2 linked regions of the Caenorhabditis elegans genome follow. The protein of the gene in region 1 interacts with the protein of each later gene in a pairwise test. Each region holds a gene or a part of one and is shown on either strand. Other genes may lie near its edges. The genes, in order: idpc-2 and scrm-8.

Region 1 (3,811 bases):
GATGTTTTGAACTAGTAATGCATTTACCTTTTCATCAGCATCATCGTCGTCCATTCTACGATTTCCTTTCTTTTTCTTCCCACCTGCACACTGAACCAGCATTGAACCAGTTATAAATAAACCAAGAACAAAGTTCTGAAAAATAAGCGATTAAAAATCTGAAAGAATGAACTTTTGTGGATTACCTGAATGAAGATTAAATAAATCGCATCATGCATATTTCTTATTAATTCTTTGCCGAAAACCTATTGAATACTGGATTTTAAATGAATTGTTTTAGTATGAATCAACTTTCCGTGGAAAATGTCATACACTTTAATTTCTATATAATGAGTTTTTGGTTACTTTTTTTGTCACGTCCTAATGTTTATTCGACTCCTTTTATGGCATTTCTTTCAAATAAATCCAGAACGCAGCTTAATTCTAGAAAAGAGCAAAAGTATAATAAAAAGAAATGAGAACAGTTGTAGAAAGAGAATACACACTTCACACTTTCCGGAATTGAAGTGGTTGACGTTTTTGTGAACGAAAACGAAGCAAGAATCGAAAAATGAATTGGGAAATAAAAAATAGACTGTAGTTTTCTTAAGATAATTTACCATTCTGGGTTCAAAAATTCCAAATACATAAGTGTAACACAAAATGAACAAAAAAACATTTTTTTTTTCGACAATAATGTTCAATCTTTTTGAATTTCTTTCAGCAATCTTCGTTCTTTCAACTGTATGTGGATTTCCTGGTATTTTTTGAGTTATTATTCACACTTTCCGGAATGACAATTGTTTGGTCTTTAACTTGAAAACTAATGGTTTTTGTAAAACAATATTTTACATTAAAAACATGTACCGTATTTCCGTTCTGCATACAATGCTCAATTGAGGTGTTGGACTGAGATTTCAAGATAAATAGATACTGCAGTATACTGCCATAAAAATACATTACCATCAAAAACCAAACACTTTTGAAACCGCTGTGTCAAAATTTTTAGGTACAAATATTTATATAACACTTCAATTCGAGGAAGTTTTATAACCTACAGAAATATTACTCAAAAATTATTTTAGAATTTTTCGATTGACGGCTTATTCTATCATACTTTTAGTAGTTTTACAAAATGTACAAGAGGTTTTTTGGTGGTCCTGTTTGTGTTGAAGATGATTTTATTATTTCAATAAATCTTGCAAACATCGATGGATCCCAATGACGATCATATCGACGCGTCTTGTTTCTTTTTGTTTTCCAAGTTCTCCAAATCAAGATTTTTTCTAAGATCAAACTTTGTGTAAACAACAAACACTAAAATACAAACATGTGAGAACATGTGTACCGAGTCTTCAATTTCAATTACTTCCGGAAATCCGCACTTTCGAACTTTTCACAAAAACGTCGCTTAACTAAATCAAATCATCTTCTTTCCGATGAATGTTAAAAGTTTAACAAAGTTCTAGAACTGTCAAAATGGATTCATATATGAATAAAAAGGTAATCCGGTCGTCGATGAACCTGTCAACCATGCCTTCCCTCCCACTTTTCCCCATTCTGCATGAAACGTCAGTGTATTTGTTTGCTCACCGGCCTAATGATTGCAAAAAGTTGCGATACGGAAAGAAAGGTGCCAATTCGATGAAAATGGTATAAAAGCAGCCGAACGGTGGCACTAATTCATCGGCTTCTTCGTCTTTTCTCCTTTTCTTTCCTTTATTCAGCCAATCATGCATTCAGCCATCGGACTACTTCTGTGAGTCAACCATATCATTGACTAATATCTAAAATTGACTTGACCACTGGTCATTTTCGTACTACTATTATACTAGTCTATACGATTTCCAGATCATTGAACACTGGAAAAACAAATAAAAAACCAAATAATTTTGCAGGGTCATCGCATCGGCTTCGCAAGCTCAAGTCTTATCTGTAAGTTCCATCTTTTTTCATGATCCTCCGCAACATTTTACAAAAAAGAGCTCAAGAAACATAGTACTAACATATTTTCGAAATTAATAGAAATTCCGATTCTACATCTAACAGAATATTATTACTTCAGACAATCTGTGCAAAATAGTGTTAATAATCTTGACTTACACTTTCGAATTACAGCTAAACTGTGCTACTCCACCATGTCCAGAGCCCATGCCAGTGTGTGCTACTCCTCCGTGTCCACCTCAATATGCTCCACTTCCACCCCCACCAATGCCTGCACCAGCTCCAGCTTACAACCCATACCCATGCGCCAATCCTCCATGCATTGTTGTTGAGCCGATGCCAGTTGCTCCACCAGCACCAGCTCCAGCATACAATCCATATCCATGTGCTACTCCACCATGCCCACTTCCATACATTCCTGAGCCAGTTGCTCCAGTCCCAGCTCCAGCTCCAGTTTACGAGCCATATGCATGCGCTGCCCCACCATGCCCACCACCGACTCCAGTCTATGAGCCATATGCCTGTGCCGCTCCACCATGCCCAGCTCCAGTTGCCCCTCAACCAGTGATCCAACATGTTCCAGTACCAGTCCCAGTTCAAGTTCCAGTCCCAATCCGTGTTCCAGTCCCAGTTCCAGTCCCAACTCCAGTCTACCAACCAACATACTGCGCTGTCCCACCATGCCCAGCTCCAGCTGCCACTCCAGTCTACGCTCAACCAGCTCCAAGACCAATGCCAGTCTATGCTCCAGCTCCAGCCTGTGCTCAACCACCATGCCCAGCTTACAACCCATACGGATACCAAGGAACTCCAGGATATGCTCCAGCTTACAACCCATACTCATATGTGCTTAGATCTCCAGTCGCTGCTGCTCCAGGATATGCTCAAGGATACGCTCCAGCATACGCTCAGGGATACGCTCCAGCATATGCTCCATCTTATGCTCCAGCTTATGCCCCATCTCCATTCAGAAGAGCCATGTACCTTTTGGGATCCAACAAGGGAAAGAAGGCCGCCGCCGCCGCCGCAGCTGCCACTGAAGAGAAGAAGAAGACTGCTTAAGGATTTTTAGTGTCTCAATATCTGTACATTTGCCATATTGCTAGTTAATTGTAATTTTAAGTATTTGTTAATTCATTGAAATAAACAATTTCCTAAATTAACTAATCGAAATCTGTCAAATATCACTCCAAACTTGAAGAATGCAAAACGAATATTTTCAATGAAAATTTTCATTTATACAAAAAATGTGCCGTGTGGAACTTGAAAAATAACTGAAAAGCAATATGAGATAAGCAAGGAATGGGGGAGTTGGGGATCGTCATCAGTTGGGGAATTTCAAAATGAGAAATGTACAGAAAATGAAAGTCGCTGGAACCAGTAAAGAAAACGAAAGGATATAAGCCAACTGCTTATGGCTGCCATGCAAGAGCGTATTGTCCGTTCTTCTCGATCTTGCAAGATTTTCCCTCCTTGAAATGAGATTTGTAGGCAAAGTCATCGAGAGCGACGACAGTCTCGAATTTTCCTCCGAGAGATCCTTCGGCTCCCTTTTGAATGGAATCGGCTGATCCGAGCAAGTCATCTCCTCCCATGGCTCCTTTCATGGCTGACTCGAGCTCCTTGTTACAGCAAGTGAAACCTGAAAACTTTATTTTTTATGTAACCAAAATTATATTTAATTTTGCAAGCCCGTATCATTTTTCTATATTTTCTCTATATAGCCTGATTATTTTGTGAACATTTTCTTACTACATCGATCAATTCATTTCGCGTCATCTTCGGATAAAAATTTTATATTTTCCTTTCTATTTGATCGCTAGCTAGCGCCTGATTCTCATTTCCTAATGAGATTGGATGTGATAGCAAGCTAATTGTAATTCGACGT
Region 2 (4,245 bases), on another chromosome or scaffold:
CTCCCAGAGGCAAGATCTACGCCAATGGTCATTCCGAACCAGGTAGCAGCGATGCCGGTTCAGATGACTGTAAGTCATTCTAGCTAATAGTGATCGTTTTAACTTTTGACTTTTCAGGGCTTCGTCCAACTTGTCGCCAACAACATTCTCAGCGCCATTGCCCATACCAACTCTGTGATGGTTGTCCAATGCATCAAACCCCTCGAGATCTTCACCGGATTCGAAACTCCGAATCGCTACGTGGTCCATGACATGTACTGCCGCCCGCTGCTTTATTGTATGGAAAGATCGAACATCTTCGCTCGTCAGTACGAAGGAAACGATCGTAACTTCGGAATGCAGATCATGGATACCCACGGAGCTCAGGTGATGACGTGCTTCAGAGGAAGACCATGCTGCTCGACCGATGATTTTCTGAGCACCCAGTTCCTCGATCAGCAGATTGGGATGATGAAGAAGGAGTGCTGCAATCCTAATGTGAGTGCTAGTATCAAGTAAAACTACAGTAATCCAGAGCCCTGAAGCATTCTTTGGAAAAATCACATTTTTCTCAAAAGAGATCTTTTCGCTGATCTGAGTTTGCATCAATCTTGATCGAGCTTAGAGCCAGGGCTGTGCGGCAAATTTTGAAACTTGCAGTGCTCGGCAAACGGCAAATTTGCCGCACACCCCTGATGCCCTATCTATAGTCCGATCTATAATATATCTGTAACTTGGCACATAGCAACCTAGAGTCTTTCCGCTTTGCTCTGCCGCCCAGCCGCAAGACATTGATACACAAAAGAGAGCAAAGCGGAAGGACTGTAGGTTGCAATGTGCCAAGTTTGTACTGACATAGATATAGACTATAGGTTACTAGACTGTCCAAATGTCTTTCAGTATTAAGATGTTTATCTAGAAAGCCTATTACTTGGTACATAGACGTACAGGTTTCACGCCTTTGCTCTGCCGCCCAGCGGCTAGGCATTGACACACTAAAAGAGAGAAACACAGAGCAAGGCGGAAGGACCGTACGTCACCAATGTACCAAGTTACAGATATAAATTGCACTATACAATTGCACTATACGTAGATCTATAGATCTATATCTATATACCGCTGAACGGCAACATCGGGACTAGCATGACACCTTGTACAAGGGCAAACTCGGCAAATTTGCCGAGCTCAACTAACTCCGAAAAATTTGATGTTTTTTGAAGCACCAAAACTACTGAATTTTTAACGCGGCAAATTCGCCAAATTCGCCAAACTTGCCGCACACCCCTGATCAGAGCAATCGTTCCTATAGGCTGAAGCTTTATTAGCTCTTCACCTGAATCTCCCATCCTCCTTGAGACACATCCTATTAACCTTTTCTTTCAGTTCGAGCTCGTCGGATCCGGCTGCAACCAGCCCCTGCTCATCCAATCTCCAGGTTGTGCAGGCTGTGGTGGCACCCAGAAGTTCCCAGTGATGACCTTCAATGGTGTGCTCGTCGGAGAAATTGTCCGCCTCTACCCGGGATTCATGCAGGAGATGTTCACCGATGCGGACACCTATATTGTTCATTGTAAGCATTTTATTCTAAGCTTCTGATCTTTTCTATCTTAATTTTGGAATATTTCAGTCCCAATGGACATGCCGCCAATCTTGAAGCTTCTGCTTGTCACCTCGGTTTTCCTGATCGACTTCACCTACTTCGAGGATCGTAACCAGGATCAACATCGTAACGGCGGAATGCATAGCGGAATGCATAGCAGCTTCTAAACTTATAAAGGATCCTGTTCACAAATTCACTTGCAAACTAGAATAAACTAGTTTTTTCTGGCTTCTTCTTACTATACCTACTAGCTGATAATTTCTCAGCAAAAGATTGCGTTTTCTGGGCACAAATGACTTGTTAAAATTGCGATAACTAATACACGTGCAGCAGACAACAATTCCGCAGATAATTTCCTATTTTTTTCCAACAGAAATTTAAATCTGACGTGAAGTTCCACATAGTACAATCAGATCAGATTTTCAAAATTAATTTATTTCCGACTTGTGACCAACACTTTTCTATGTGAGTTTTCTTATTTCTCTTGGTTTTCCCTCAAAACCCGCATAATTTTTTCAGAAAATGAATATTCAACCGGGACAGCTACCATTGAAAGCAATTAGCTTAACGTCCGCGGTGAAGTCACCTGAGGAGGTTGAGCAGGATTCAAAGAAGGATGAGCCACGTGCCGAGGGAGCGGGGTTCGGTAGAAGAAACAATGCTGGAACGAAGCTGCCAGCGGCGAGATCGACGCCAATGAAAATTCCGAATCAGGTGGCAGCGATGCCGGTTCAGATGACTGTAAGTCATTCTAGCTAATGGTGACCGCTCTAAATTCTGACTTTTCAGGGCTTCGTTCAGCTTGCCAGCAACAACATCCTCAGCGCAATCGCCCATACCAACTCTCTGATGGTTGTCCAATGCATCGAACCGCTCGAGATCTTCACCGGATTCGAGACTCCAAATCGCTATGTGGTCCACGACATGTACTGTCGTCCGCTGCTTTATTGTATGGAAAGATCAAACGTCTTTGCTCGTCAGTACCACGGAAACAATCGTAACTTCGGAATGCAGATCATGGATACGCACGGAGCCCAGGTGATGACTTGCTTTCGAGGAAGACCATGCTGCTCATGCGATGATTTCCTGAGCACCCAGTTCCTCGATCAGCAGATTGGGATGATGAAGAGGGAGTGCTGTAATCCTAACGTGAGTTTTGGACGATAACCACCGCCAGTAATAACTACAGTACTACATTAAACTACAGTACCCTAACATTTATAGAGGCATGAGAATATAGGAAACATTTTAACAATACATTGTGAACAGTCCTAAAGTGGTGTCAGGCTGTCTCATACCGGTACGATCTACAAAAAATGCGGGTGTTTTCCGCCCAGAAAAGTGTGCCAAAACTGTGCGTCTCAATATTGTAGATCATATGGGACATCATGATACCCCGATAAAACCACAATGCCACGTCCTATGCCGATCATTTTGTGAAAGTAGGGTTGTTAGTCGATGATCTAGGGATCTAAATTGTTCCGAGCTATCACAAGGGAATTCTTATACCTAACACCTTTCATTTGCTAGTCCTAGATTCTTTTAGTTCGAGCTCATCGGATCCGGCTGCAACCAGCCCCTGCTCATCCAATCTCCAGTTTGTGCTGGCTGTGGTGGTACTCAGAAATTTCCAGTTATGACCTACAATGGCGCACTCGTCGGAGAAATCGTCCGCCTCTACCCGGGATTCATGCAGGAGATGTTCACCGATGCGGACACCTATATTGTTCATTGTAAGTTCTTAAGATCCGAATTCTATCTGAATTCCGATATATTTCAGTTCCAATGGACATGCCGCCAATCTTGAAGCTTCTGCTCGTCACCTCGGTTTTCTTGATCGACTTCACCTACTTTGAGGATCGTAACCAGGATCGTCATCATCATGGTGGGATGCATGGCGGAATGCATAGCAGCTTTTGAATTTTTTATGAGCCCATTTCACTTGCAAACTAGAATAAACTAGTTTTTTCTCCACAGTTTTATAGCTAGCTTTTCTGTAATTACAAGCTCACTTTTTTCAGAAGATAATTCTGTTTTTTGGGCACAAGTGCTTAGATTTTTCCCGTACATCCCAAGAAGTAGTTGATTTTTATTTAAAAAAAAAGCTTTGTAATCTGGATGAAAATTCAAATTTTCAACGTGACCCCTTTTCCACCCCTCACGTAACATCTTCTCCCAACATAATCTCCCATTCCTACTATTGTTCATCGTCATCGAATGTGAGTTTTCTATCGCTTCTTTCTGGGACCCCAAAACCTTCCAACTTTTCCAGAAACCAATAAAAATGAATAAACAACCCGGAGAGCAGCCAGTCAGCTGTGCGACTTCAACTGAGAAATCCGAAAAGGAGCCACCGAAGAGCCGAGCGGAAGCTGGAATGATGCGTGGCGGCGGGAGACTTCCACAGCCACGGGATACTCCGATGGAGGTGCCGAATATGGTCGCAGCAATGCCGGTTCAGATGACGGTGAGTAACCTTACGACGCGTTGCGTGTCGCGTTGCGTGTCGCGTTGCGTGTCGCGTTGCGTGTCGTGTCGCGTTGCGTGTCGCGTTGCGTGTCGAGTTGCGTGTCGCGTTGCGTGTCGCGTCGAGTCGAGTGTCGCGTCGAGTGTCGCGTCGAGTGTCGCGTCGAGTGTCGCGTCGAGTGTCGCGTCGAGTGTCGCGT

The links.
Region 2: the proteins of idpc-2 (region 1) and scrm-8 interact in a two-hybrid assay, tested with the Caenorhabditis elegans proteins (one large-scale study listed by BioGRID).

What each region holds. Positions count from the first base shown.
Region 1 is NC_003283.11:8,619,198-8,623,008, reverse strand, and holds idpc-2 (Intrinsically Disordered Protein, class C), read left to right. Parts: upstream 1-1,695; 5' UTR 1,696-1,712; coding exon 1,713-1,738; intron 1,739-1,877; coding exon 1,878-1,914; intron 1,915-2,097; coding exon 2,098-2,985; 3' UTR 2,986-3,084; downstream 3,085-3,811. Other genes in the region: F41E6.1 (uncharacterized protein), read right to left, coding at 28-135, 186-218; grd-5 (Ground-like domain-containing protein), read right to left, coding at 3,336-3,565.
Region 2 is NC_003282.8:4,162,678-4,166,922, forward strand, and holds scrm-8 (Phospholipid scramblase), read left to right. Parts: upstream 1-2,014; 5' UTR 2,015-2,044; intron 2,045-2,098; 5' UTR 2,099-2,101; coding exon 2,102-2,320; intron 2,321-2,368; coding exon 2,369-2,728; intron 2,729-3,125; coding exon 3,126-3,312; intron 3,313-3,359; coding exon 3,360-3,499; 3' UTR 3,500-3,553; downstream 3,554-4,245. Other genes in the region: scrm-5 (Phospholipid scramblase), read left to right, coding at 1-69, 118-477, 1,363-1,549, 1,607-1,746.